Coturnix japonica: one gene and its partners. The protein of the gene in region 5 interacts with the protein of the main gene of each other region in a biochemical or structural test. Links are inferred from orthologs where the notes say so. Each region holds a gene or a part of one and is shown on either strand. Other genes may lie near its edges. The genes, in order: DCUN1D5, KCTD17, PEF1, COPS5, CUL3 and DCUN1D3.

What was found.
Region 1: the proteins of CUL3 (region 5) and DCUN1D5 form a complex in vitro, tested with the Homo sapiens proteins (2 studies listed by BioGRID, with this or other methods). The link is inferred for Coturnix japonica from reciprocal best matches to the Homo sapiens genes CUL3 and DCUN1D5.
Region 2: the proteins of CUL3 (region 5) and KCTD17 form a complex in vitro, tested with the Homo sapiens proteins (3 studies listed by BioGRID). The link is inferred for Coturnix japonica from reciprocal best matches to the Homo sapiens genes CUL3 and KCTD17.
Region 3: the proteins of CUL3 (region 5) and PEF1 form a complex in vitro, tested with the Homo sapiens proteins (2 studies listed by BioGRID). The link is inferred for Coturnix japonica from reciprocal best matches to the Homo sapiens genes CUL3 and PEF1.
Region 4: of the proteins of CUL3 (region 5) and COPS5, one has a biochemical effect on the other in vitro, tested with the Homo sapiens proteins (2 studies listed by BioGRID). The link is inferred for Coturnix japonica from reciprocal best matches to the Homo sapiens genes CUL3 and COPS5.
Region 6: the proteins of CUL3 (region 5) and DCUN1D3 form a complex in vitro, tested with the Homo sapiens proteins (3 studies listed by BioGRID, with this or other methods). The link is inferred for Coturnix japonica from reciprocal best matches to the Homo sapiens genes CUL3 and DCUN1D3.

The regions. Positions count from the first base shown.
Region 1 is NC_029516.1:163,126,530-163,130,916, reverse strand, and holds part of DCUN1D5 (DCN1-like protein 5), read right to left. Parts: intron 3,809-4,387; coding exon 3,717-3,808; intron 1,647-3,716; coding exon 1,576-1,646; intron 1,378-1,575; coding exon 1,286-1,377; intron 1-1,285. UniProt on the Homo sapiens protein: Contributes to the neddylation of all cullins by transferring NEDD8 from N-terminally acetylated NEDD8-conjugating E2s enzyme to different cullin C-terminal domain-RBX complexes which is necessary for the activation of cullin-RING E3 ubiquitin ligases (CRLs).
Region 2 is NC_029516.1:47,001,971-47,006,974, forward strand, and holds the start of KCTD17 (BTB/POZ domain-containing protein KCTD17), read right to left. Parts: upstream 3,350-5,004; 5' UTR 2,568-3,349; coding exon 2,358-2,567; intron 1,884-2,357; coding exon 1,775-1,883; intron 23-1,774; coding exon 1-22. UniProt on the Homo sapiens protein: Substrate-adapter for CUL3-RING ubiquitin ligase complexes which mediates the ubiquitination and subsequent proteasomal degradation of TCHP, a protein involved in ciliogenesis down-regulation.
Region 3 is NC_029538.1:4,369,238-4,374,255, forward strand, and holds PEF1 (peflin), read right to left. Parts: upstream 3,079-5,018; 5' UTR 2,965-3,078; coding exon 2,757-2,964; intron 2,553-2,756; coding exon 2,409-2,552; intron 1,636-2,408; coding exon 1,406-1,635; 3' UTR 702-1,405; downstream 1-701. Other genes in the region: collagen alpha-1(XVI) chain, read right to left, coding at 3,762-3,964, 4,043-4,120, 4,211-4,387, 4,459-4,525, 4,619-4,807, 4,900-4,944, 5,018-5,018. UniProt on the Homo sapiens protein: Calcium-binding protein that acts as an adapter that bridges unrelated proteins or stabilizes weak protein-protein complexes in response to calcium.
Region 4 is NC_029517.1:104,428,696-104,433,082, forward strand, and holds part of COPS5 (COP9 signalosome complex subunit 5), read right to left. Parts: intron 1,210-4,387; coding exon 1,098-1,209; intron 1,011-1,097; coding exon 862-1,010; intron 283-861; coding exon 198-282; 3' UTR 1-197. UniProt on the Homo sapiens protein: Probable protease subunit of the COP9 signalosome complex (CSN), a complex involved in various cellular and developmental processes.
Region 5 is NC_029524.1:6,977,744-6,982,130, forward strand, and holds part of CUL3 (cullin-3), read right to left. Parts: intron 3,418-4,387; coding exon 3,257-3,417; intron 2,118-3,256; coding exon 2,003-2,117; intron 1,400-2,002; coding exon 1,171-1,399; intron 1-1,170. UniProt on the Homo sapiens protein: Core component of multiple cullin-RING-based BCR (BTB-CUL3-RBX1) E3 ubiquitin-protein ligase complexes which mediate the ubiquitination and subsequent proteasomal degradation of target proteins.
Region 6 is NC_029529.1:12,708,686-12,713,545, forward strand, and holds the start of DCUN1D3 (DCN1-like protein 3), read right to left. Parts: upstream 3,381-4,860; 5' UTR 3,275-3,380; exon of another isoform or gene 3,000-3,274; intron 2,994-2,999; exon of another isoform or gene 2,873-2,993; intron 2,790-2,872; exon of another isoform or gene 2,703-2,789; intron 2,269-2,702; exon of another isoform or gene 2,018-2,268; intron 1-2,017. Other genes in the region: LYRM1 (LYR motif-containing protein 1), read left to right, coding at 3,588-3,836, 4,290-4,382. UniProt on the Homo sapiens protein: Contributes to the neddylation of all cullins by transferring NEDD8 from N-terminally acetylated NEDD8-conjugating E2s enzyme to different cullin C-terminal domain-RBX complexes and may play a role in the cell cycle progression by regulating the SCF ubiquitin E3 ligase complex, after UV damage.

The DNA of each region.
Region 1 (4,387 bases), on a different chromosome or scaffold from region 5:
GTAATAATGCTATGCAAGAATCAAGTGATCCTGCTGCTCTAATAGTGTAAATCCTTCTCTTTCAAAATTTGTGTCAAGCCTCTAATTAGAACCTAGAGTCTCTCAACCCCTGCAGTCTTATTATGATCCCCTATTCCCAGTGAGCACAAAGAACACAATTCTACAGATTCATGCTTTTCGAAGTCATTGAGTCTTCAGCTCCTTTATGAGTGTCACATATGAGTGACCAGATGCTTAGTCTACAGCCTGGTACTAGCACAGATTGCACTGTTTTGCTTCCTCTGAGTAACTGTTTTAGGCTTAGGTAGGTGCTTTGATTACATCTGTTTATGTAGAAATGCACAAAAGTAAAGCATACACTTTTTGTCTTAAATGCATTACATCTATAGCAGGTTGAACTCTATTCTTAAAATGAAGATTTGGTCCTAACTACACTAGATTAGTGCAGACAGAAAAGTCTACAGTATTCAGAGTATCTCTAAAGAGCTGCCGTACTCAATACATATCTGTATTGGCTCTGAAGTGGTGCCATACTCCAGTGCTTGCTTTCTGCTAGACTGGTTGACTTTGAAGCCTTTTAGTTGATATAAAAATTAAGGTCTTCATAGAACTGACTTGTAGTCATTTACACAGTACATTTAAAAATGTATACAGTTTAACTGAACGTGGTATCACAACAAGTCACCCTTGAAAACATTAATGAATTGCAAGGTTCATAAATAACAAAACAACAGCTGAGTCAAGCCTCACCAAAAGCTCAGTAGTTACACAAATGAACATCTCTTCAGCATTAACAAAAATAACCCTAGTCACAGAAGGATTTGGGAAATCTACTTACAAACTGAAAAAGCATCATTCAACCTAAGCAATTAAGAATGGCTTCTAACCTGTACCTAGCAGACAACAACAATAACCAACAGATTATCAAAAATAGTTCTCATCTATGAAGCTTGGATATCAGTAACCAGCTTCTCAAAATACCGGTGCTGAGACAGAAGCATATCTGAGGTCTCCATGAACATGTGTATGATAACTGATACTTTAACACGCCATCAAGACCTGATTACGATAGACAAAACTTTTAGTGAAGTCATCAGATTCCCAATCTGATGAAATACAAAGTTACCTCCAGCTGGTGACTGAAACCAGACCTAAAAACCAAGAGTTTCTGTGTCTTTCTGCCAATGTGTAAGAAATAGTGGGCAAGATTCATTAAGCTACAGGTACAAAAATTTAATAGAATGTTCAAATTTGATATGTAAAAAACAAACAAAAACCCTCTTACTGTAATGAGGTCATCCCCTTTAACCATTCTTCCTTGGTAAAAAATCCCATGCTTTCAGCCTCTAGCTTCCAGGCTAAAACTAACATAATAATCTGGTGGAAACAAACAAGGGGAAAAAAACGGAGTTAGTATGTGAGAAAAAATTGATTTCCAGATTTCTAGTTTTCTATGAAGAAAACTCCAAGCATTCAAACAAGATACGCAACTCTTTGCTTACTGAACTGAAGAGACATACACAGAACTAAGTCTAATCCGGTAAAAGTGTGATTAGTATTGTGAAAGAAACCTACATTTTCAGGCTCAACACCAATGTCTTCGCAGAACTTTTCCATTCCTTCAGGCCCCACAACATCATCAGGACCTTCAGAACCAAAAACAACAAACCAAATTGAAACAGAAGTAATATTCAGTGAAATGTATATTACATTTGAATTACCACACTTCAAGGAAGAATTATACAATATTTTATACAAGCTATTTTTAAAAACACCGCATTACTTTATCGATTAGATTTTGTATTAGAGCCATTCTATCAGCTGCAACATGCAGACAGGTATGAAATACTTGTCAATGACATAACCATGAGGACCAAAAGAAAAATGCATATGGAATTGCTGTGAGCTGCCCTCCTAGAACGGCGCACAAACTATTTTACTTCACTTATGTGGGTTTTCAGAAGCATCCACTGAGCTTCACATAGACAAAGCTAAACTCAGCGAGTATCGTCTCTGCCCTATGAATAATGTTCTTCAAATAGTACTTCACAAGCACAAAAACACTACATCTGTCTGACTTACCATTACACATCCTACCCCTTCAATAGTGTTGCCATTATGGGTTTGCACTAACATAGTTATTATAAGAATTGTTATCTGCCATTAACCCTTTATGAATGAAACAGTATAATAAATCTGAAAAAAAAAAAAAAATGCTAGGCAAAAAGCAGTAAAAGCTTTGACTACAATGAAAGTAATGTAGCTGAGGCCAGAACAGACGATATTATGCTGTTACCTTTCGCTTTTAATATGAAGAAAGTCTAAAAAGGCAGCAATAGAGTGTATTTAAAGAGCACATATGGACACACTGCAAAATGTATCATTTCCCCGAATCCCTCTGGTTCCAGCTATTTCTGCTAAGCCTGTTCCAAAAACTACTACTTGTAGGCTGCCCAATATTATCAAAGGACTTGCTAGCATGCTATTTTGTGCACCATTGGGACCTTGACATTAACACTGTTTTAATGGATATAAGCCCATGTAAAAGGCAAAGGCTGTGTACCCCAAAACAAAATACCACAGAACATTTTGGGCAAATGCTGCTACTTCAGAAATCAGTAAATAATAAAAGGCTGCTCTGTCTCTCTGTTTAAATTACAAAAAGATACAAGGTGTGGCATATTTCGATTACTGGTTAACTAACAATTATGTTTCCATACAATGAATTCTTGATTCAACAACAATACAATGTATAAGCCTTAGCAAATTAAAGGCATTTGATTTACTTGCACATAAGAAAATTAAAAGCACAGAGAGGAAATCTTCCACAGGAAAGAGTTCAAAACAGTATGCCTCAAATCTAATGGAGAAAGCAATTACTAGAATCAAGACTAGTTCATTACTCTGGAAACAATGTCAGTACGGTATTGGCTTTGAATCATATATACTAAACCAATCCCTGGATGACAAAACACCACCTCATTTCACATTGAGAACTGAGCCAATAAACAGTTTTAGTCACCAATTAGTTACAGTGGACTTCAGTGACTACGTCAGAAAAGATACTGATCACAGTTTACAGATACAGAATTTCTAGTCACATGATTAGTAAACAAGCTGCAACAATTGTTTAGTAAGTGCTGCAATATACATTAGACATTTACTAAGGCAGCTACTACTTGGGTAGCGAGTTAATTTTTTCACAAGAGGGTACTTCTAGTGTTTGTGAATGAGACACTGGTTATTTATGACACCAAATATGTTAGCACAGATTCTCAGCACAACCAGTACAAGCACCTACCAGCCTTTACTAAAAGATGAGAACACAGAGCTTAAATCATTAACTGTTATTCCATTATCATTCTGATCTGGTTACAAACAAGATCACTGGAGAAATAAATTTCTATCTAAATGCCCACAGTCCCAACTTCTACTTGTCCTTTTCTAATCAGCAGTAGAATCCCTCAGTTCAACACTGTATACCATGCAGCATCAGTTATTTTATTTTGAAGAATGCCATGGAAAATTATAAAGCACAGAGAAAGAGGAGAAAAACAAAGTCAGATAATCCCCGAGAAAGTGTTAGTAAGAGCCATATGAATTCATGTGTATATGGACATACCTATATTTCCATGAGGACATAAAGCAAAACACAAATAATATTTGACACATTGATTTGTTTTAAACATTTTAAGTATGTATACAGTGCATATTACCTGCATATTCATGAAACCATGCTAGGCACTTCTTGCTTGAAAAATGCTCCTCTCCACTTATTACTTTACCAGGGGTTTGTGACCTGCAATAGCTTATAGAAACAGAAGGACACGAAGTGTTATTTTAATATGAGAAATGGGAAACCAGTTATATTCTGTTTATTTTTACTTGCAATTAAGTCAACTGATTCATGAAAAAAGCTTAATTTAAGAGGCAATTGTCAGTCGTGCTATTGCAACACTCACTGGAACAAGAAATTACCTTGAAATGCAACCTTACCTTAGTCTGACTTATCCCAGCTGTTACTTTTGCTGAGATGCTGAAATACTGTTACCTGGTAGATATTAAACCAAAAATCCACATGCAGATGTCTGAACCATCACTGCTCAGTAATTCAAATGCCTTATCTACTTATATAAGACTTTAACATTGGTTTCTACTAAGCAGCATGATCTTCAGTCAAGGGTGCTGAAGATGCACAGATCCAATTTAGGTCATCAAAAGCTGTAGAGTTTGACATATTTAAAAGTCAGACCATTTATATTTAGGCACCCAAATCTGGGAAGAAAACTCGGTCAGATTGTTTATATTAAGCATGTAACTAAATCTCTAAGTTCTATGGCTGTTTGGCACAGACCAGAATAGTAATATACAAGCTTTGGAAAGACTC
Region 2 (5,004 bases), on a different chromosome or scaffold from region 5:
AACTCTGCTTCTTCCAGGACCCCTAAGAAAGAATGACAGAGAAACCACAAAGTTAACAGCCAGATTGTTTTGCAAGCCAAAAAAACAACTCTAAATACACTTCCCTAAGTTATGACCCTTGGATGAAATGATACTCAAGCCTTGCTCAGAACTTGCTCTCTGCGGTAAAGGTTTGAAACCTTTACCGCAGAGAATTGAGAACTGGCTCTCATGTTGTGTTCTACTGCTCACCCCAACTTCTTTATGCTGCCTACTACTACAGAAACAGTGCAGGTTGGTACCAAGGTCTGCTACTATATTCCCAGGGAAGAGGAGGATTTCCCTGAGAATCCAAAATCAACTTTCAGATTACAGGCCAAGGAGAATAAATGTAGGATCCATGCTCTCAGTGACCACTAGTTTTTGTTTTGTTCCAGCCCTCTTTGGAAGGCAGGGAACCGCAATTTGTTCTGACTTCTCCAGCAAAAGAAAATTTCATCCTTCCTCCCAGGCCTGTTAGAGTTGCATCCCTGTATGACTTCAGTCTTTGGTTCTCTCACCCATGCTTCATCACAAAGCAGGCAAACAGAGAACTGTTTTGAGTTTTCTGCATGGTATCTGCATCCTTCACCCCTCCTGAGATACTACTGCTTGCTAACAAGCCATCAGGGAAAGGGAGGTGAGTTCTCAGTGGGTTAGTGAGGGGAAGGAGGCCAGGAACCGACATTCATGGGTACCCAGATCAGCGTGCAGACAATGCTGGTATGGGTTTGATCCTTCTCTACCTGAGAACTCAGAATAAGTCCCTCATTCAGCCATTCAGCCATACCCTCTAACAGGTTGGTTTCATGCCAGCCTGTCCTGTGGCAGGAGCAAAAGAAAGCTGTGAACAGAACAAGAACTCCTGTTTACGTTTCAGATCTGGTGTTAAAAGCCTCGGCTGAACTCTGTCTGACACGAGGGTGACAACCAATGATAAGTAAGAAACATCTCTGAATGGTGTTTATTACAATTCTGTACTATTTCTTAGATATATATTTTTTGCATTATAAGTCATAAAATGATTCTGAATAAAACACTCCTTGGTAAAAATATGTAAGGGAGGCAAGAAGGCTAATGAACCTGCAGAAACTGTGCTTGGCAAGGGCTGGACAGCACAGCCTGTCTTTGAAATTGGCTGCTTGTTAGTCCCTAACATCCAAAAAATAATGAGGCACTGGGGATCGCTGGCTCGTAACACCATGATGATGTTACTGAGTTATCCTATTGGACTCCCTGTCAACATCAAATGAGGGATTGGTTTGTTTGGCTTGCTCCACTGGAATTGCTGCAGTCCACAACCCATCAGAGCACTATTAGCATACATTACGTGTCACTGATTAATTATGGGGTTTATTACAGTCAGTTGGTCTGTTTGGTCTTCTGGGTTTTCACTCCTAATTAGAAACACTCAGTCATTAGTACAAACCTCAGTCACAAAGCCTGGTTAAAAGTGTATCAGGAACAGGTAATAAAACAGTTTTTCATGGATGAGAGACCTAGTCTGCTTCCATCTCCGTGACACCTTTGCTCAACTAACAGCCATAAGGACTCAATATATGCAGGATCCCTTCTCCACCTGCTCCATTCCCACTTAGAGAAGGAAACATGCTTTCCAAGAGCTGCAAGGATGGCCTTCTCAAATCTCCCACACCAATCTTCAGAAGGATAACAAAAGACAAGGAGGTCAACTACAAACCCTACTGTGCTGCTCCAGCAATGGTTAAGTGGTAAGTTTCTGAGCTCCAAGACTCACCCTCTTCAGCCATATCTTTATCCAGGACCAGCTTCCCATGGCGGAGGAAATTCAGGATGGGCCCAAAGTAAGTAGGGTCCCGGTCTATTAGATATGCACCAGTCTCATCCTATCAACAAGAGGTAGACCATGAGATGAAAAGCACGGGGTATCTTGACCTGCACCTACCTGCAACATCTCTATAATAGACTATAGCCAAGACAGTTTCACTCAGATATTAACTCCTGCATTATTATGCTCAGAATGTCCATCTCAGCATGACCTCAGGCTCCTGCAACTATAAGTACAGGCCTGGTGTGAGGAAGCTGAAATCCCTCGAAGTGAAAAAAGGGTTGAGTCAGGCTGCTACATCTGGGGAGTACCCTCAGGGTATACACGGTGATGGAGCAGCAGGGGTGCAGGGGACTGGGCTACAACACAGCCAGGAAGTATCTGGCAAGAGAAGTTTCTCGCTAGGATAAGGGGAGAAAATGAAGGTATTTTTCTCTGGGTTATTCCTACAGCTGTTGGGATCTGACTCCAGCCCTGCAGCCCTCCCCGTGCTCAGAAGGGCATGGTGCAGGAGGCAATACAGCTGCCTTACCCGATCCGATTGCAGCTCCTCGCCCTGGCACAAGCGACACAGGAAAGATTTCTGCTCCCGGCACAGGGTCTGCCTGGTGGTAAGGAAGACGGTGCCCCCCACATTGAGCCTCACCCACTTGGCCTGGGCATCAATGGGGGGTGGGTCCCAGCCGCAGCGTAGCCCCATTGCGCCCTTCATCTCTTCCCCGCCCTCCATCCACATCCTCATCCCCCCTGGCACGCAGGGACTGCCGCAGGTGCTGCCTGCCAGGGAATGCTGGGATCTGTAGTTAGTCTGCTCTCCTTCCGCAGCAGCCGTGTTTCCCTTAGGGGCAAGAATCCTCCCTGCGTCTGCCCAGGGAGACTCCAGGGCGAGAAGGATGCTTAGTGCTGCAGTTATTAGGGGTGGGTAAAACCACTGTCTCAACGCTCCTTGGCTTTTCCTCCGTTTCGGTTTTCACTAACCGAGGGCTGGGCAGCACTTTGAAAGTATGGGGAGCGATGCAAAATTCCTCAGCAATTACTTCCACGTACACCCTCCCTCCCCGGCTCATGAAAAGGTTCTGGGAACTGTAGTTTGCAGGGATGTGCACAAAAGGGTGCTGGGAACTGTAGTTTTTCCAGCCTGCTGTCCCCACACAAGGGGATGCTGTAATACATTACCCTGAAACTACAGCTAATCATTTGCTTGCTTTGAGTTGCAAATCTAGCAGGCAAGCGTCCCTGGAGTCAGAAAGAAGGTCTCTGATCTCTGGCAGTCAGCAGACTAAGCCCATCAGCACTGCTCTCCGCAGCTTTCCCTCCAGGAGATACATTACCCCAGGCTCACAGCACAGCGCTGCATCAGTTGCTACACTGTTCTTGCTGCAAAATGTGCAGGCAGTTGTCTTCTTGCTAACATATGTAGGGACTCTTCTGGGAACGGTATCTTGGATCTGCACGAAGTGCTGGCAGGGGGGCAGGAACAATTTTTCTTCTGACTCAGAAGAGTCACTGATTCAGCAAATGTTCCCCTTCTCCCCTCCCCCCAACCCCACCCCCCTCCTCCCTGTATGGTTCTACAGTCACAAACCATTCCAGAGACCACCAGCTATTTCCCAGCTCTGATGTTGTCTTGGCTGCAAAGAGCTCAGATTTTAACCCTGCCCTGCATGGATCTTCACCTCTGCCTCAGGCATACCGCATGCTGATACCAATGTGTCAATTGCTCCTTGCTGAGCACAGCCCTGCCTCTGCCACTCCTCCTGCCAAGTCAAGCATGGAGCTCGGCAGCTCATACCCATGGGACTCCATTCAAATGCACTCCTTGGCATGGACATGACCTGAATAAGTTATTTCTCCAGCAGCTCTGCTTTTTCCTCTCCCTCTGAAACACAATTGTGCTTGCCAGCAGCTCAGGCACATTGGGGATGAAAAGGAAAAGCTGACGCTTCACCTGAATGTGGCCCAAAGTCTTCCTTCACCTGAAACAACTCCGTGGCTCCTCCTTGCCAGGGCAATGCAGCACTGCAGGAACGCCGTTTGCCCTGTGGACGCTTCGTTCTTTCACCTAGATCTTGGGTCTTTCCAGGCGGGAGTTACTGGGGGAGAGGGGGTGGAAAAAAGACAAAGATCGTGCTTTACTCACATTTCTTTTCCTCATCCTCTCTTTTCTTGCGCTTAAAAATCACTCCCTTTTATCATCACAGAACGTGAGCATAGCATCACCCTTCCCCCCAGTTACCCAGAATTCTCTTCACAAAGATGGTATAACTGCACTTTGCTCCTTCAGTGCAGGAATGCAAAGCAGAGGGGGGAAAGCAAAGGTAACAAGGAAAAGGTTTTGAAATTGCTGACCTCCAGTTTAATTTAAGCACATGAACAAATCATCTGCTGCAGGGTCTCCTTTAATTTACATTGAGAGCTTGCCAGCTCTATGGTGACTATTAATAGGGAGAGAGTAATTCTTTTTTTATTTATTTATTTTCCTATTTGCATTGAGCAGGTCCATTAATAAATTAATCCCCAGCCCCTGGACCACTCTCCTCTGAGCAGCAGAAGACATCAAGGATGCTCAGACTGTCACCAACCTGAGGTGAAGCATCAGACAGTACAACATAACTCTGGGCTGTGAGACTGTTTCCTTCCTACCTCTGGCTCTGAGTCAAGCCACAGCATATGTGAGAGCTTTGCATTACACTCTGGTGTGTTAGGAATATGAGATCCTGTCAGCTCTGCCCACAGCTGCAGCAGACAAGGGAGGACTGTGGCTCCCTGATATGAATGCAGCGGTTGAAGGTGGCAACCTACTGCCCCTTATCTTCCCCTCCAAGAAATCTGCCCTGCCTTTGTTTTGTTCCTTTTTCTACAAAGGGTCCAAATTGCCTCCCTTTCCTCCAAGCCTGTTTCACAGCCCCTCAGTCTCTCTCTCCATTTTAGATACAATCCCTTGTTTTTGATGCCTTTTCCAATCTCTCCCATGCCAGAGCTGCTCATGGGTCAGAAATGGCCTGTATTCAGAACACACCTTCTTCCATCAATGTTAGTTGCCATCTGTAGCCAACCCTTGCTCACCCCAGGCCAATGGGGTGAAAGGCAAGTAATTCAATCTGAAGTAGTAACATGTAAGTAAGAAAAGAGGTCAAGGTACAACCACCACATTCCTTGTGTTCTGCAATATACAGTAT
Region 3 (5,018 bases), on a different chromosome or scaffold from region 5:
GCCCCCTGCTAAAGCAGGTTCACCTACATCAGTATTACCAGCACCGGCCCTTTAAAACTACTTTAAAGATAATCATTTGCAATGAGGAAACGTCACGGTCTGAGATCCTTCGTGCAGCTCTAAGCTGCACAAATAAACTGGAAATCAAACCTTCCAGAGCTCAGCTGCAGCCCAGCTCTCAGCCATTGAGTTCCCGTGCTCAGCTCTGCGCCTACATCCATCCCATGTTCACTCACGGGAGCAGAGCAGCCCTCAGCATTGAGTTTGGCTCCTTGGCTGGGCACTTTCTCTTTGCATTCCCACTGTTTTCACTGTTTTCCTTTGCATTCCCTCGGCTCTGAGCTCTGGCTGCGCCCCAACGTGGAGTGGGGCGGCACCTGGTGGCTGCAGCCTGCCCTACAGCCAACGTATGGATCACCATATAGAAACACCCGCACCTCTACCTATACATCTGTCCCTACAGACACCCCTATTAATACACACATGCAGGTATATCAGTGCATGCAGACAGGAGGTGTGTGTGATCCCACACAGCCCCTGCTGGGCGCCTGCTGCCAGCTGGCCAGAGCTGCAGCCTTGTCTGAAACAGCACAAAAGTCAGCTCCAAAAATAGAGCAGAACCAACTTTACTCACCAGAACAGAACTCCAAATATTGCTGGAATTGTTATTAGTGCTCACAAAGTCCCACCTGGGGCCAAAGTTGAGACAAATAACAGCGCTGTTATTTCTCCTCAGAGCACCAGAAAACGTTTTAACTCGTTCATAAAACACCCCCTTACCCTGAACAAAGAAACTCAGCTGTCACACAATGGTCAGGGTGCTGCTTCTCATCAAAGGCAATTAAAAGAACAACCCCACAACCATCATTTTAGGAGCACAGGGAAGAAAAACAACCCGAACCTTTTCAGTGTCGGCCTTCACTTTTGTGGCTGTATCTCAGAAGAAGGACAGCACTTCATTCCCTGGAGCCACGCAGCCATCGCCCCACAGACCAGCCAGGAAATGCTGCCAGGGCTCTTTTATTAGAGCTACAAAAATAAGCTGTAAACCGTTTCCAAGCTTGGCTTCCACAGGCAGAAAGAAATCAGTACAGACATTGGCAACGAGGGACCCAGTCCTGCCTGTGAGCATGAGGTGACCCTGGGTTTTGATACAACTCTGTGGCTGGCAGGGGAAGATCCAGGTGCTCCCAAAGGCACAGAGCTGTCCCCAGAGCCACAGCAGAGGATCAGAGCATGGCACAGGCTCACTCTTAGTTTGGTTGTCACTCATTGTGGCACAGCAAAGCCCTGCTGCAGCACAGAGGCACCCACCGCCATCCACTGGGGATGAGGAATAGACCAGGACCAGGACAGGACAGGGACCAGGACCAGGACAGCCACCATCCCCCCTTGGCCTCGTGTGTCACAACATGCGTGTTATGACCATGGTGAGGAAGTCCTCATAGCCGAGCCGCACGTTGCCCACCATCCCCGTGTCCTTCTCACGGAAGGCATCTGTCAGGCTCTGCAGCTGCATGCAGATGTGAATGAAGCGGTCGAGCTGGATGCTGGGGTTGGAGGATCTCTGGGCATAACGGGACAGCAGCAGCTGGCTGAACTGGGGGCTCAGGTTATAACCCATCTGGGAGAATGCTGGGAGTGAGAAACACACATTAAAGCCCTGCAAGGAGGGAGACAGTGCCCTCCCCACAGTGTGTTCCTGAAGGGCTTCTATCAGCAGCTGAGTGCAGGGAGGGTTATGGAGAGGGAGGAACCAAATCCAGGCGGGAATTCCAGACATTCTTCCCCTCCATGTGACGCACACACCCAGGAGCTCCTCCCAGAACACAGGGCTGAGACACATGCCAGCCATCGGGAAGGGCAACAAAAAAGGGCTTTCCCTAAGGAAGTTCACAGTACGGCTGGTTCAATGCGATGCAGGGGACACCTGGAAGCTCAGAGAGAACAGCAGGAAGGGGGCTGGAAGGGGGGGGGGGGGGGTCTCTGGATTGGCTATTAGGAATGGAATGTCTTCTGAAAGAGCGATCGGGTATTGGTACATATTCCCTCTCTACATTCCTGATGATGTTATCACCTCGGTTCCATCATTGCTCTCTTTGCCTTCCAGGTCCCCAAGGGCCACCAAGCTATGGGAAGATGGGTCCTCCAGGCCCTGTGGGGCAGCAGGGCACCCCTGGCATCCCCGGTCCCCTGGGTATCACGGGCTGTATCAGGTATTGGCACAGGCTGCCCAGGGAAGTGATGGAGTCACCATCCATGGGGTGGCCATGTGGCACTGAGGGACGCGGTTCAGCTGAACCAGATGCTCTTAGAGACCCTCAATGACTCACTGCTGGGCTGTAATGCTCATCAATCAGTCAGAGCTCCCTGTGTAACCCAGCTGTGTCCCCCCCCCCCTCACCCACCTTGCTGCAGCTCAGTGCAGCTGATGGATCCCGACTGGTCCCTGTCGTATTGCTGGAACAGGCTCCTCCATTGCTGGATGAAGCGAAGCAGCGCCGAGAAGCCGTACACGTCCATCCGACCCGACCTGCTGCTGTCAAACGTGTCTGCAAGGAAGGAAGGAAGGAGAACACATAGGGGGCAATGAGGGGGAGCATGGACCCCTTTAACATGGGGGGCAATGAGGGGAGCATGGACCCCTTTAACATAAGGGCACATAGAGGGAGCATGGCCCCTTTAACATGGGGGCAATGGGGGCATCATGGCCCCTTTATCCCCTCGCTGTGCCCATAGGCGCGGCCTGCACTCACTGATCATTAACAGACACGTCTCGTCGTTGAACGCCGACCAGTTGTTGTTGAGCAGCGCCTGTTTCAGCTCCTTCACCGAGATGGAGCCGCTGCGATCCGTGTCCACAGCCTGGAACCACGACAAGGCCTCGGGATCCACCCCGTGTGGGGCTCCGCCGCCATAATGGGCTCCGCTGTACGGCCCGGCCTGCCCCGGGAACGCCGCCATGTCTCCTCTTCCGCCCCGCACTTCCTGCTTCCGCCCCCGCACTTCCTGCTTCCGTTTGTCACTGGCGTTTCTCGGCTTCTATTGGTCAAATATAGCGGATGAGAGCGGAAGTCCCGCCCTCCCCATGGTGATATGGGGCATGTGATGGAGAGGCTTAAAGCGGCGATGGCAGCGGGGTGGGGCCCACTGAGCGCTGCGAGAGAGGAGGGGCTGGGGTCGGGGAATGGGACCCCCAGGAGGAGGGACAGGAACACAACAGGGCATCACAGTGCCGGCACTAGGGTGGGATTCTCCCATCAGACCCAGGATCATCATATCATCATCATCATCTCCATCACATCACCATCATCATCATCATCACCACTGGAGTTGGACTCAATGCTCCTTATGGGACCCATTGGGGATGTTCTATGATCTCCATTGTCAGTATCACATCATTGGCCTCACCATCATCACCAATGCCATCACCAATCTCAATGCCATCACCAATGCCATCACCAATCTCAATGCCATCACCCATGTCATCACCCCAACCCCCCCACCCCAATGGCCGCAGCAGGGCGCTGAGCTCAGCCCCACACACAGGGTTGGGCTGTTTAGATGAGACACCACACACGAGCAGTGGGGATGTGGGGCAGCAGCACGGCTGTATTTGGGCTGGGCAGGATCCACCTGCCCTACAACACCCACCCACCCACGGAACCAAACAGCACCCAACCCCCCCCCCCGGGACCAGCGCAGCCCCCTGGAAAACGGGGGCAAGAATAAGAGCAGCAGTGGGGCGCAGTGGGGCCGGCTCAGCCGAAGGGGCCCTTGGCATTCTTGGGCTGGAAGATTGGCTGCTCCATGGGCAGAGCTCCCATACAGTCCGCTGGGCTGCAGTGCCCTGTTTTGCCTGGTGGCCCCGTGGCACCCGGGGGACCGGGGATGCCAGGGATGCCCTGCTGCCCCACGGGGCCTGGAGGACCCATCTTCCCATAGCCTGGTGGGCCTTGGGGACCTGGAAGGCAAAGAGAGCAATGGTGGAACCGAGCTGATATAGCATCATCAGGAATGAAGAGAGGGAATGGGAACTCACCTGGGGGTCCTGGTGGGCCACTGTCCCCCATCAGCCCCATCCCCTTCTCCCCTTTCTCTCCTTTGGCTCCCGGCTCCCCTGGAGGAGAGATGTGAATGGTGAAACCCCACCACAGGGGACACCCCATAGGGGACACCCCAACACCTGGGGTCAGTGGGCAGCACATACCCCGCATGCCTGGCACTCCCTGCCGCCCCTCTCTGCCGATCTGCCCTGGCATCCCTGGGGATCCCGGGGGTCCCGGCCGTCCAGGCAGCCCATCCTTGCCAGGGGGACCCGGCCTGCCCGGGGCTGCCACCATCTCCACTGGGAAGTGCATCCGTGATGTGTAGTACGCCATGCGCTCTGCGGGGACAGGCGGCTCAGTGTGGGGCTGGAGGGGCACCAGCCCTTGTCCCTGTTGTCACCCCATTTACCATCAAACATCTTGTTAATCTCCTGCTGGATGAACCTTTTGATCTCGTCGTAATTCACCACGTCACCCTGGGGGGGGGATATGGAAAAGACACAACCACTGAGCCCTGGCTCTGTGCCCTGGACTCAAGCTCCTGCTCCTGAGCTGCCCCCCCAACTTACCATCATCCCGGGGGGTCCCGGCAGCCCGGGGCTGCCTGCAGGTCCTGGTGAGCCGGGGGGACCCCTCTCACCTGCAGGACCCCGCAGCCCTATGGGGCCCATGGAGCCGCTCTTCCCCGGCCCCCCAGGTGAGCCAGCACGGCCCTTCTCCCCAGGGTACCCTCGCATTCCAGGGGTCCCGGCTTCACCCTGTAGGGACACAGACAAGCAGAGCTCTCACCATAGCACCCCATTGTGGTGTAGGGCTGGGGGCACCATGGGGGAGCTGTGGCAACTCTCACCTTCTGGCCAGCAGGTCCCGCAGTGCCAGGCTTCCCTGGGGGACCCTGGGGAGACAGAGAGGAGTGGGGCGGTGGGACTGTCCTGGGGGCACCCCAGCAAACACTGCCCCTCCTGTACC
Region 4 (4,387 bases), on a different chromosome or scaffold from region 5:
TAAAGAACAAAAAGTTACATTACATTTCAGAACGTTTTGTTCTTTAAAGCCGGTCGGACAGGTGGGGAATATTAAAGTACTACAATTTAAATGAATAATTTTCCACTTCAGATCCCTTTCCCAAATTGAACAAGTCCAAGTGAAAGAAACCATAACTTTTTTCTGCTTTGGAGATTCATATCAGCTAGCGATGCATTTCAAGCTATATTAATTTGATTAAAAAGTTTATCCTTAATAACCTGAGACATCAATCCATGTATAGCTTCTATGGTGGTCTTGCAGCTGAAAAACAAGCATAAATTCAATGTTGGCTAAAGACCGAACTAAACTGTCATTTTATTTAAAGATATTCAGCTGTTTTGGAAGTTCAGGGTGCCCATAACCCCATGAATCTTCACAACTGTCCAGAAAAGAAAAGTCACACACTGCAATTCAGCCACTGTTGCCAATAGCTCTGAATGCAAACTGATGGGCTCTAGACACACAAAGGCCAATTCCAGGGAACTTGGTTAGCAATGTAGGGCATCTTATGTTAACGACAGAAAGTGAGCTCTGCAGTCTTCTGAACAACAACAAAATCCCCAGCAGTCCAGGAGAAGAGAGCTACTGCCTTTTATCAATGCTCGAAGGTTCTCACCCTTCCCACCCTATCCCAACCTCAACGGTTCTTAATTTTTAAATGAAAGTTTTACACAAGTGTTTCTCAAACTTTCAAAAAGAACTGGTCATATCTGGAGCCTCTCATTCCTATCCATAGCCTTCCAGGATATGATTTTATTGGTTAGTTACTACTAAGGACTTGATAATTAAAGTTTAAAACTAACACTTTTCAGGGAGGAATGCATGTATTCATTGTCTTACCTGTCTCTTGTTGCTTTAGCAAGTTTGTCCTCTGATTTCTTATCGTGAGTCTCTAAACCCAGCATAAAACTGCCCCGTCCAAGCTGAGCTTCCGACTGTTCTAATTTTTCAGACAAATCGAAGACTTGGCCAGTGGTGTAGTCAGCATTCTTAGGAGAAAGAAAACAATTATCTTTCTGAGTTCTAAGCTATGAATTCAAACATTTATACATATTTATGCACATTATGGTACTTACAGTAAGCAAACTAGAAGAGCTGAGAGTGTTCACCCAGTACTTGTTCCACAGAAGCTCAAGCAATTTACGATCCAAAGATGATTTGAAGTAAGAGACTTCTAATGCATAATACCTTTAAAAACAAATATGCACACAACAAAATTCCATATAAATATATCTTGTTTGGCTCTAACACCCAAATAACATCCATCTGAAAAAGTCTTTATTAGTGGCAAATATCTTCAGAAATTCAAGGTATTAAACAATAAAAGTTACTTTCACTTCTAACTCTAACTCTACAAGATGTTTTGCAAGTATTTCATATAAAGCTTTAATAAAAGTTTACACAATCCCTATACATACTGCTGTTTTATTTAAGAGACTGCAAGTGTTTCTGTTAATTTTGTAAATGCTTGTTGTACAATCCAATGATGCACTGTACAGTAAGGAGGATCCAGGGAACCACAGGCCTGATCTCCGTGCTGGGAAAGGTTATGGAGCAGATCATCTTGAGGGAGATCATACAGCATGAGCAGGACAAATGGGGGATCAGGCCTAGCCAGCATGGGTTCATCAACTGCAGGTCCTGCTTGACCAACCTGATCTCCTGTGAGTGATCTGCCTGTTGGATGAGGGAAAGGCTGCTAGCTGGACTTCAGCTAAGCCTTCTACACTGTTTCCTGTAGTATTCTCCTGTAGAAGGTGGCAGCCCATGGCTTAGGTACACCGTGTTGGGTAAAGAACTGGCTGGAAGGCCAGGTCCAGAGAGTGATGGTGAATGGAGCTAAATCCAGCTGGTGATTGGTCACAAATGGTTTCACTGGGGGTCAGTACTAGGGCCAGTCCTGTTCAATATCTTTACCGATGACCTGGATGAGGGCATTGAGTGCACCCTCAGTAAGCCTGCAGATAACACAAGTCGGCAGGAAGTGTGGATCTGCCTGGGGGTAGGAAGGTCCTACAGACAGATCTGGACAGGCTGGATAACTGGGCTGAAGCCAGCGGGATGAGGATCAACAAGACCAAGTGCTGGGTCCTGCTCTTTGGCCACAACAACCCCAGGCAGTGCTACAGCCTTGGGGCAGAGTGACTGGAAAACTCTGTAGAGGAAATGGACCTGAGGGTATCAGACAATGCATTGCTGAACATGAGTCAGGAGTGTGTCCAGGTGGCCGAGGCCAATGGCATTCTGGCTAGTACCAGAAATAGCGTTGCTAGTAGGAGAAGGGAAGCTTGTCCCTCTGTACTCAGCACTACAAGAAAGATACTGAGGCCCTGGAGTGTGCTCAGAGAAAGGTAACAAAGCTGGTGAGGTGTCTGCAGCACAAGACTTATGAGGAGTGGTAGGAGGAACTGGGATTGTTTAGTCTGGAGAAGAGGTGGCTCAGGGGAGACCTTACTGCTCCCTACAACTACCTGAAGGGAAGATGTGGTGAGGTGGAGGTTGGCCTCCTTTCCCATCTAACTAGTGACAGGACTAGAGGGAATGGCCTCAAGTTGTGTCAGGGGAGATTCAGGCTGGACGTTAGGAAATACTTCCTCTCCAAGAGAGTGATCAGGCACTGGAATGGGCTGATCAGGGAGGCTATGGATCCACTGACCCTGGAGGTGTTCAAGAAGTGTTAAGGTGTTGTACTGAGGGACATGGTTTAGTGCAACTATCGGTGATAGGATGGTTGGACTAGATGACCTTGGAAGTCTTTTCCAACCTTGGTGATTCTATGGCTCTTCAATACTGTAATTTTTTAATAGCAGATCACTAATTTTGTGATCTAATTCAATTAGGAACATTTGATAGCAGTAAATGTTACTAACGGACAAATAATTTTGTCATACCATACTTGTTTTTAAAGTCAAACTTTGCTGGTACTACGCAATTCATAAGATCTGACTACGTAGACAGAAAGCTGAGCTCTGTGTAGATGAATTACAGCAACATTCAAGTTATGCTAGATTTTATTTTGATCACTAAACTCTTCAGAAAGCTACCAATAAACATATCATTGCTTAATTTCTATGCAAAGTTACTGTTACTATGAAACAACTAGTAGTGACTAGACTATCAAATAGAGAGGACCATCATTCAAATTGGCTACATTTTAAATCTGTAGTGCAACTACCCATACTACTGAGAGGAAGCCATCATTCTAATCATTTGCAATCAGTAGTTCAGTAATGTGCCAAAATTCCAGTTTAAATTCCATCTTTTTCCCTAACTGCTGTTTCTTCCCTAGGGAAGACTGGAAAATATTTTCTTTGGATGGCAAGAAATAGCTTGTACGATAAGCCAGCTTCCTGAGATGAAGGTTATGATGGTAAATATTAAGCACTGCCAACTTAAAGAAGGAAAAAAAGCAACAAAAAACCAACAGTAAATCCCACAGCAAAACCCCCAAATAAGCAAATGAACTCTCCCAAACTGACCACTTCAAATAAAGATAAAACACACCTTCCACTCATACGTTAATATATACCAACGTTTATGGGCAGTGTCCATACAAGCACTATTCTGAAGCGACAGATTCATTACTAAAAAGATTTCTGTGTAGCCACTGCTCTGGAATTTTCTCAGTTTGGATAGGAAAATCAATTCTCAATTGTAATAATTTCTTGATATCTTGAGAGTCCAACTCCGCATGCAGCTATAAATGCACTACAAATAGATATCCATGCACCAAAACCATGGAAAAAAAAACAGGCAACGGCCTACATCACATCCATGAACCTACACGGTGTCAGTGAGATCTCAGAAGTTTTCTGTACACAGTTCCTTAAACTGCAGGGCTCGTCAAACACTTGAAGGTGGAATCAAAACCAGCATGGAAGGAGCAATCCCATCTTTCTCTTGCTGATCCCTGGAGGCATTCAAGGTGAGGCTGGATGGGGCCTCGAGCAGCCTGAGCTAGTGGGTGGCAACTCTGCCTGTGGGTGTTGGAACTGGATGGTCTTTAACATCCCTTCCAACCCAAGCTACTCTATGAATCTTCCCAAATACTGCATCTCCATCATCTGCCTCTACCTTAGCTTAACCAGCAAGAACATATGTACTGCTGCAAATTGGATCAGATCAGGGGACTGACCTGGCAAAACAAATGCTTTTCCATGTAAGTACATGTATGTATGAAGCGAGGAACAAGTGACAGGGTGCTAGGAGAATGGTTAAAATTAAACTGCCTTTAAAATACATGGAAATGTATTCTCTCCATCAGGAGAGAAAAAGCAGTAATTCTTCCTGTTGCTGATATTATCGTTTGAAGCAGCTCCACTTCACCAAGGAAAGAAACAATATGATTGAAAACCTGCAGCCACAT
Region 5 (4,387 bases):
TATGATGTTAAAACAAATAAGACAATATGAATGAGATACTTTTATAAAGCAAAAAACAAACCCACAAAACCAGTAAAAACATGAGTTTAATTTGCATTTGTTTAGCTGAACTTAATTTATACTGTCTTAAAGGAATAACTGCATAAATTCTCACTACTTTGTTTCATATACCTAAAATCAGGAGAACTGACTTAGCTTAAAGATGGCTTTTGAAGAGGAAGCCTTGTACACCTCTTATGTAAAAAACTTCACAGCTATATTAAACCAATGCCTATAAATGTTATATTAATTCTTGTATGTTGTAAATGCCCTTCAATATCCTTGTCCTCTCACCCTGAAGCCTATCTTAATTGGATATTAATGAAAAAAGGTTAAGTATAGTATCATCTTTCCATACAGAAATGCTCTTTTCTTACAGCTAAGAAATTTGCTCACTTTATCACTCTGACTACCACCTAATTATGAAGCTACTTCAAGGAACAAAAGCCATTTATCCAAACAGTAAGTCTGTTCCCATTCTCGATGTTTTAGTATGAAGCCTGATTTCTAAAAATAGGTACTACAATCACTCTTCATTACACTGTTTCAGAAGTGTAGGTTCTCCTTCTATAAAAATGTGCATTCAGTTGCTGTCTCACAGTAACCTACACTATAGAAAACCTTACCAAACCAAATCCTTCTTTTTCAGTCACTTAGAAAATATTTTTCATCCTTTAAAATTAACACTTTTTTCCTGCAGTAAATCCTTTTTCCCCAAAAAAATCAATCATGCAATTCCATGTCATTTACTCTATCACTTTTATACTGCACCACCCCCTGAGAAAAACCCCACAAAACAGTGATGCATTTTAAAAGCTATACACTGTAGGCACAAAAGCAATAAAATGGCTCACAGAGAGCAGGTAATCAAGCACAGCACAAAAGGTGAATATTTATTCTTAAGAAATGCTTAGCTTACAAAAAACCAAGTCATTATTTGGCACTAAACAGAAACAAGTTCTATATACAATCAGTGTCCTAAAAGCTCTCTAAATCCTCTGAAGTACCATTTGCAGAGGTGTGCAAAAGAAAGCCAAACAGGAACACAAAAGTTAAGCTCAGTTTATCCTATGTTTAAAAACAACAAGCAGTATGGTAAGCATTTCTGTCTCCCATATGATATAGTCTTACCTTCTGTCTTCCCATTTTTCAGCATATGAACTAGCCCAGAGTTCTCCATTTCCACTATAGTTTTCATATGCTTGGAAATAAGCTCCCTCTCAACAACTTTCACAATTGGCTCTTCTGTTGATTTATCCAGACAGTGCATCACCCGTTCTATTTCTTCATTAATTCTAGCTTCTACTTTCTTTATATATACAGAAGCACTGTTTTCAGCTAAAAATTTCTGACTTTCCATCTGTGATTAACACAAATTAATACTTTAGACTTCTTGTATTTTAAGGAGGAAAAAATGAAATATACTGGTTATTTCAGATCAGCATTCATTAACAAGTTAAATCACTCCGGCACATCCAACAAGCAAGACCTCCAAGAGTTACATATATGCTTAACACAATAAAAGTTCTACTACACTCATTGTGCTATGTAGGTTTGAGGGTACATGAATATAAGTGTGGTATTCTCCATGCTAAAGTGAGCACAATCAGCCTAATATCCAGTGACCAACAGGAGTTAGAGCTACAGGTCCAACGAAAATAAAGACGGGAGAAGCAAAAAGTAAAATCTCTTTTCAAATACCAGTCTATGTCATATTTACGAATTATATGCATCAATGGTTTTCTCATTATTCTTAAGAATGACAATGCTCACAGTTAAATTATGTTAATTATGTGAAATAAGTGTTTCTTTTTCCTCAAAGTTAGTCACACTTCTTATTTCATTTAACAAAGATTGACATTACTCGTCGAATAAACAGTAGTTACTTAAGGTACCACTAACTCTTATGATTCCATGCAATTACAAGAGAATTCCAAATAGGGTAATTACAAGACTGCTGTACCTGAAAAAATTCTGCAGACATCTCCAAAAATGGAGCCTCAAAGTCTTCTTCATAGACTGACCTTCCTTCAAGACCTAGAATCATTAACATCTGGCAAGCATTTCTTATTGCGCCTCTGCCAAAAGTAAGTTGTTAACAACTTCAGAAATCAACATAACACAGGGAGTACGTATAGCAAAATAACAATTTTTAACTTAAAATGTACTAATAAAAAGTCTGTCCTACATCTGTTTGTTGCACCAGAGGTTTTCCAGATGGCAGTAAGACTATCACTGTTTAAAACTAAGGAGCTGACAACACATAATATTTTAAATAGGAAAGCAGATCTCAAGTTCTACCAATTCTGAAAACTATTAACAGGAATATATTTCTCCACACCGGAAAATAAACAAGGAACACTGAAAACTGCATGTGTAGGTTAGTAGTAAACAAGACAGTTGCACAGATGGATGGTGCCATGCAGAGTATGAAAACACACCTGCAATTTAAGCATCTGTTTAGGCATAAACATGCTGATAACATTCAAAAACAAAAGAACTGTATCTATGAAAAAATTTCATTTCTGGCAGCAGGGGACAATATACAGCTGTTGCCAACATGTATTTTTCTCTTCATAAACTGTATGTTGGGCAATCCCAATTACAGAACTGCAGCCAAAGTAGCATGAAGTTTACATATCTCCACACCCAACAGCTGTTCTGAAACTGGAGAAACGCAAAAAAACTTGCAAACTTCGAGTTACTTCACATGCAGCATCTGAAGCTCATGCTGTCAAACCACTTCCACAAATATGGCAAGAGAACATGAAGAACAGATTTTAAAGCCGAGAGATAACTGAACTGGGTTAAAACATTAGGAATGGAAATGGAAGACTAAAAGATAACTTCAAAAATCAAATAAAGCAGGTAGAGGAAAGTTAAGCAGCCTCTCAGTACAGAGGACAAGCAGGACGACAACAAGGGGCAGAGAACTGTCAAACCTCTGCTTTATAATAGAATGCTATGACAGAAGGTGGTAACGGAGAGACTTAACAAAAACTTCAATAAACATCTCAAGATTAGCATTAGAAATGTATTAATGAGTGTATCCATTTACCATTATTTTAAGTTTGCTAAAAAGTAAAAATGTGGGGTTTTTTCCATGTTATGAAGAAACTTTCGCTTAAGTAATGATTTAGCTGTGCACATTTGTGATTCACTCAAGGATTGCTAAGTGTCATTTGCAACAGCAGACAGTCACTTACAAACATCTTACCTGTCTACAACCTCTCCTTTCCTTTCTCTTGCAATCATATCCAGCAGAGTTTGCCGTAAGTGATCTCTAATACAGCCATAACGTACAACTTGATCTCGAAAAATAATCAAACCCAAGTTGTAGACGTTCTCCACGTTATTTTGTTGTACGTAGACACGGTCCTACAATGAAGGCACACAAAGCAAAGACACTTTGAATTCATCATGCCCAGGTTATTCAGAAATGGAAGAGACCAGTCACACTGGTGCTGTACACATATAATCAAGTGAATCCCCTTTCTTCTCATTATTAAAAGGAAGCAACCTCAGGATCAGACCAATTTACCAAAACTTTATTTAATAGGGAGCCTATATTGCTTAAGACCGTAAGCACAGCATTTATAACTAAGCCAAGCAAGAACAAATTCACAACCCCTGACACTTTTTCAGTTGGAGAGTAGGGGAGCCCCCAAACATTCAGAAAAATCATAGAATAATCTGAAAGCTTTTTATGTATCTACTTAATTCCCTTCCATCCACATCCTTTATCTTCTGTAAAGTTATTTTTTCTCTATCTGCCACTCATAATTCCATCGCTCGATTTCACAGTTCATCCTCATTATTTAATGAGGCTTCTTGAAATAGTATCATTAGCTGAACAGAAGTAAAGCCAAAATAAGAATAATTACAGTCAAAGTTTATCAACAGCTAATGCAAATTGTTTAAAAGGGCTCCTGTTGGACCCATGTTAGAAAGTTCACTCCCTTTCAACCTGAGCAAGTATCATGAAATGTTGTTATATAAATCTATACTAAGCATAACAATTATTCTACCTCCCTATTCAGTCTGCTTGACCATCCTCTAGCCCTCTATTGCATACACTTACTAATCTGGGCTGATGCTCAGAACAGCAGTCCAAGACTGCATAGCATAATCACCACCATGCAGTTCATATAAAACTATATATAAAACTATTCAAACACAAAAAATCAAACTTTTGGTTTTTTTAGTAAAATGCTTCTGATTATAGAAAAAACTTACAAAATTGTACGTTTACACCAGTTTCACAATTAGAAGAAATGAGAAGGAACAGATTCTGCACCCTTTAGTATTTTAGCAGCCAAACATACACAGCAAAATTCTTACAACAATT
Region 6 (4,860 bases), on a different chromosome or scaffold from region 5:
TGTCATTACCACTGACAAAGTTAGAATCAGGGATACAATTATTCCATGTCACCAAAGCAGATCGCCTGCAAAACACTAGTGCCATTTAACCTAGTATTTTTAAAAGGAGGGAAGGGGGAGAGAAAAAGAATCATGAGATGTCCAGTAAGCAGAAGACAAAGCCTGCCCAACAGAGGCTGGTCAGGAAAGGAAGCCAGTGAGACAAGACACAGACCCCCAGGGAGAAAGAACTGGAGCGGAGGAGCCCAGCCAGGGAATCCCCGTGGAGTCAAAATACTGGCTAGAAATCTTCAGCTCCTCTTTTATTTCTAAGGATGAGCACAAAAGAAAGTACTATTTTCCTAACATCGCATACCTTTATTTTTACAGCTCCTTCTTACTCCAACGAGCTTTCCTGTGACCTTCATTTCCACAGACCAGTGTGCCTGATGGAACAAAGACAGCGCTCCTGCATCTTACAACTTTGCACACAAACAGCCAAGGCCCCAGGGCGTGTCTGCAGTGCCCCAAGGTTCTACATCAGCATGGGGCACTTCTGAGCAGTACTGGGATACTCACTTTCCTGCTGACTCGCAGGCATACATCTGTCCATATCCAAACTCATCATTTTCTGCCATGAGCAAATCTAACTTCACAACGTCTGAAGGTTTAGAGTAGTCATTTCTATTCCTTTTTCTTCCACTGCCATTCCTCCCTACCTTACATTGCCCTGCCCAGCACACATCCACAGAACATATACGATTTTCTACATGGTCCTCAAGTAGAAGCAAAGAAATTGGTGGAATGGAGCCTCACCTTCATCCACATGCAAATCCACCACAACAAACCCCTTTGTGCTAGAAGTCAGTCAAACTGTTTGGTAGCTTCCCTTCCTCAGTACAGAGCTCTTTATCTAATTTTAACTAATGACTTCCAAAATAGCTCTTCTGGGTTTTGCCTCAAAAATCAGCCTTTCAATTCATCTGATTTCCTTTTGTATTATCCATGCAAAATAGAAGACATAATTACCAACGAATTTCCAAGATCAATAAGAACAAGTGAGGCAAAATTTTCTATGAACATGGCAATGTGCAACTCAAAAACACAGTAAGGGAGCAGCAGGGAAGGCATCTAACTCAGCAGATAACGAATTATATCACAGGTGATCAGTCTCAAGAAGAAAGTGGTTTCAAAGTATCACATTGAGCTGTGTACTCTTCTGTTAATAGTTTTGCCAAATTATTTAAGGATTATCCTAATTTGTGCTGGTATAAAACTTGATTTTAGAAAACAATCAGAATTTCAGAAATCCTTCCAAGAGAAGATGCAGCAAATTCATGATGCCGGTTCTGCAGGCATGAACTAATTCCACACAGATCACAAGTTCTTTTTCTGCTGATGTGCAGAGTCTTTGCTTCAGGCTGCGCGTTGCCTGTCACTAAAAGGGCTACAAGGCCTTCCCACACACCATTAGCACGTGTGCAGAGGAGGTGTAAGGTTTAAGACGAACCCTAGAACTGACAAGAAGGTAAAGCCAGACCTCTCCATGCTCACACGTATCTGTTTGTCCTTCAGAGGAACTCCTCAGAGCAGGAAAACATGCAGCAGAGTTCAGAAGCACTCAAAGAACAGCAGCCCTCAGACATTCCCTCTTTCCATTGCCAGCCCAAAGAAAACAGTAAGATCTCAGTCACACATCAACTGTTTAGCAAAGAGGTTCTCGGGCATATGAGCAGTGTGTGCCTACAAGAGACGCCTTTTGACCAATGGCTCCCCCAAAAAAGAAAGAACACACAAGGACTGGAGTCTGATACAAAGGCCTGACAGACATTTCAGGAACCACAAGCCAGTTCTGCACTTTGGGGCCACAGCTCGGCCCTTCTGAGCACTTTGCCTGCCCTCCCTTCAAACTATACTATGGATGGTATCATTTAAAGTGAAGTTACAGCTGTGGATCAGTGCTGTATGTGAGTAGCTGGGCTCCCACTCATCAGTTATCAAAGAAACACTTTGAAGGATAGCACCATTAACTACTTACAGTGTAAGAAATAAAAGGCTTTTTCCAGCACTGTCTCTGCTTCCCAGCAACGCTCCCCTGGAGCCGCGCGGCTGCAGGCCCAGGGGCCGGGGCAGCACTGCGGGCACGGCCCGGTAACGTGCTCAGAGCGGCACCGAGAGCCGAAGGGAGAACGGAACCCGCAGCGGGTGCGTTCGGACGGCGCAGAACCGGCTCCTGGGCCGATCCAGGCGCTTCCTTGCATTCAGCCCGGCTTTCCCTCAGTCCGCCGGCCACTCACCTGCAGCGCCGGGGCCGCGTGCGGAGACCGCCCGAGCGGAGCGGCCACCGCCGGGGGCGGCTCGGACGGATGGCGGCAGCCCCCAGCGGCGCCCGGCCCCGCCCGACCCACGGCTCGTGCTGCGGCTCCGGGGCTGCAGCTCCGCACGGACGGACGGGCCGCCCCGCAACGCGGCTCCGGGCCGGGCCCAGCGGCGGCTGCAGCTCGAGGGGCTGAAGGGACGGGCCGCCGGCAGGGGAAGGCGGCAGCGGCGGCCGAGGGACACGCACGGGGCTGACGCCCGGCCCGGCCCGCCGCGTCCCCGGGGGCGGCACAGCACGGTACGGTACAGCACGGCACGGCACGGCACGGGACCGAGGCACGACACAGCACGGTACGGTTCGGTTCGGTACGGCACAGCTCGGCACGGCCCCGCGGGGCACTCACCGCGATCCCGGCGAGGCTGCGTCCCTCCGCATCACTTCCGGGCCAGCAGTCAGCTGGCGCCGTGACGTCACGCGGCGCGACCGGCGCAGCACGAACCGGGAGGGCACAGGGCGGGGAAGAACGGGAGCAGCGGGGCGGGGAGAGGCACGAAAGGACACGGCACGGGACCGAGGCACGGCACGGCACGGCACGGCACGGTGCGGGGCTGAGAGCGCGGCCTGGAGGGAGCCTGTGCCCGGAGGTGCCGCGGGCGCTGCGGGCGGGAGGTCGGCGCTGGTTCCGCCGCTGCGGGTAAGGCCGGCCCGGGCGGCAGGGGCAGATCGCACCGTACACACAACAGCGGCATTTCGGGCCTCGTTTCTGACGCCGGCTCTTGGTGCGGGCTCAGCGGGCAGACGGCGCCACAACGACCGGGGCGCTCAGGACCCCCCTCGCTCACAGTCAGCACCTCGGAATCATCGCACGGCCAACGAGCTGCTCGGCACCTGGCACCGGTACCGCAGTCCACCCACCATCACCCACCATCACCCACCATCACCCACCATCACCCACCATCACCCACCACCACCCACCAGTGCTGTCATCGTGTGCGTGATTCCAGGTCTGGACACACAGCACAGACGGGGCAGCGCTGTTACAACACAGCGGAGACTCCTCCGAGTTTCGGTGACTCGCCCAACGCTGCGTGTTGCAAAACAGCAGTGACAGAAAGCACGGCCGGTCCTGAGCTGGTTCTCATTCAGCAGAGCACTGCATCGAGTGCTTGACTTGCAGCAGGAGCTCGGGCTGCTTGCATGGGGCAGATTTAAGTCTCAGTGCCAATACTTTGCTGGCTGGGTCTTCTGGTTTCAGCAGCTATTTCAGTTCATTCTTTAGGTGGTGGAGATGCTCTTAAGCATTGAATTGTGTTTAAAAGCAGTACACGTGGTGGTCGTTCACACAAACTGGGGCTCTTGTGGGGTTGGTCTGTTTCAGATGACAGCAGTCACACGACAAGAGGTGCTGGGCCTTTACCGCAAGATATTCCGGATAGCCAAGAAATGGCAGTCGGCATCAGGACAGGTGGAACAAACTGCTGCAGAGAGGGAGTACATTATAAAAGAAGCCAAAACGTTGTTCCGAAAAAACAAAGATGTGAGTGAGCGTCATTGCAGGTTTGAATTTCTGACCCCTTTCACTGTGCTTTGCTCACCCCCAGTGGGTGGATGCCAAGGTATGGAAATAAGAAATGATTTCCCAAAATTCCTTCCCCATAAATGCCAGTACAAACACATTCTAAGGCATATTTGAGTTACAGCTTATTATTTCAGGGGTCAAAATCTGTAAGAAAATTCAAACCCTCTGAGGTCTCCATAAACTCCTGTGGAAGGCCAGGCACGTCACCTCGAAGAGCACTCTCTGCTCTCACAATTCTGATAGCCTCTGGGCGCTGCTACTCAGAGCCATAGAGCTCAGCAGTGCAGATGTGAAAAACACCATCATTGTATCCTTGGAACTGCAAAAGGAAGGGAAAAAAAAGCTTGAATCTTGAAATGCTGATTTTTGTACTTGTGCAAAATATTTATTTTTAGCTCTCTGTTATCTTAGGTGACAGATCCGAAGCTGATTAAGCAGTGCATAGAAGAATGTGAGGCAAGAATAGAAATTGGACTTCACTACAACATCCCCTACCCGAGACCCGTGAGTATGTCTGTTCCCCACAGGTGCACCTTATTAGCTCCCATCTGACACTCAAATCATAGATCCATTCTACTGTCGTTGTGCCACACATCTCACCTCTGCTCAGGTGCTCTGCTAAATCAGAGCCAGGTGAGCTCTGAAAAAATCATCAGCACGCTGCTTTAAGACTTCAGCTTGGGACCTTAACAGGATTTCTGTGTCTTGCTGTTCTGGAATACTGCTTACAGGCATATTTCAACAATGTTATCGTCACAATCTGATTTCAGATTGCAGACCAGAATTAACAAAACCTCAAGTATGCAGGGTTTTCTTAAACCTGATGTTTAAGGCTGCAGAGTCGCTCCACTAATTGCTCTTCAGAGAGTTCTTTGCACAGAAATCTAATAACCTGGCTTCAGACAGCATGGTTGCCCTCTCCAATGAGTGAACGAGTGATTGAAACTCAATAAAATTGTCTGTATATGCTTCTTTTTTTTTT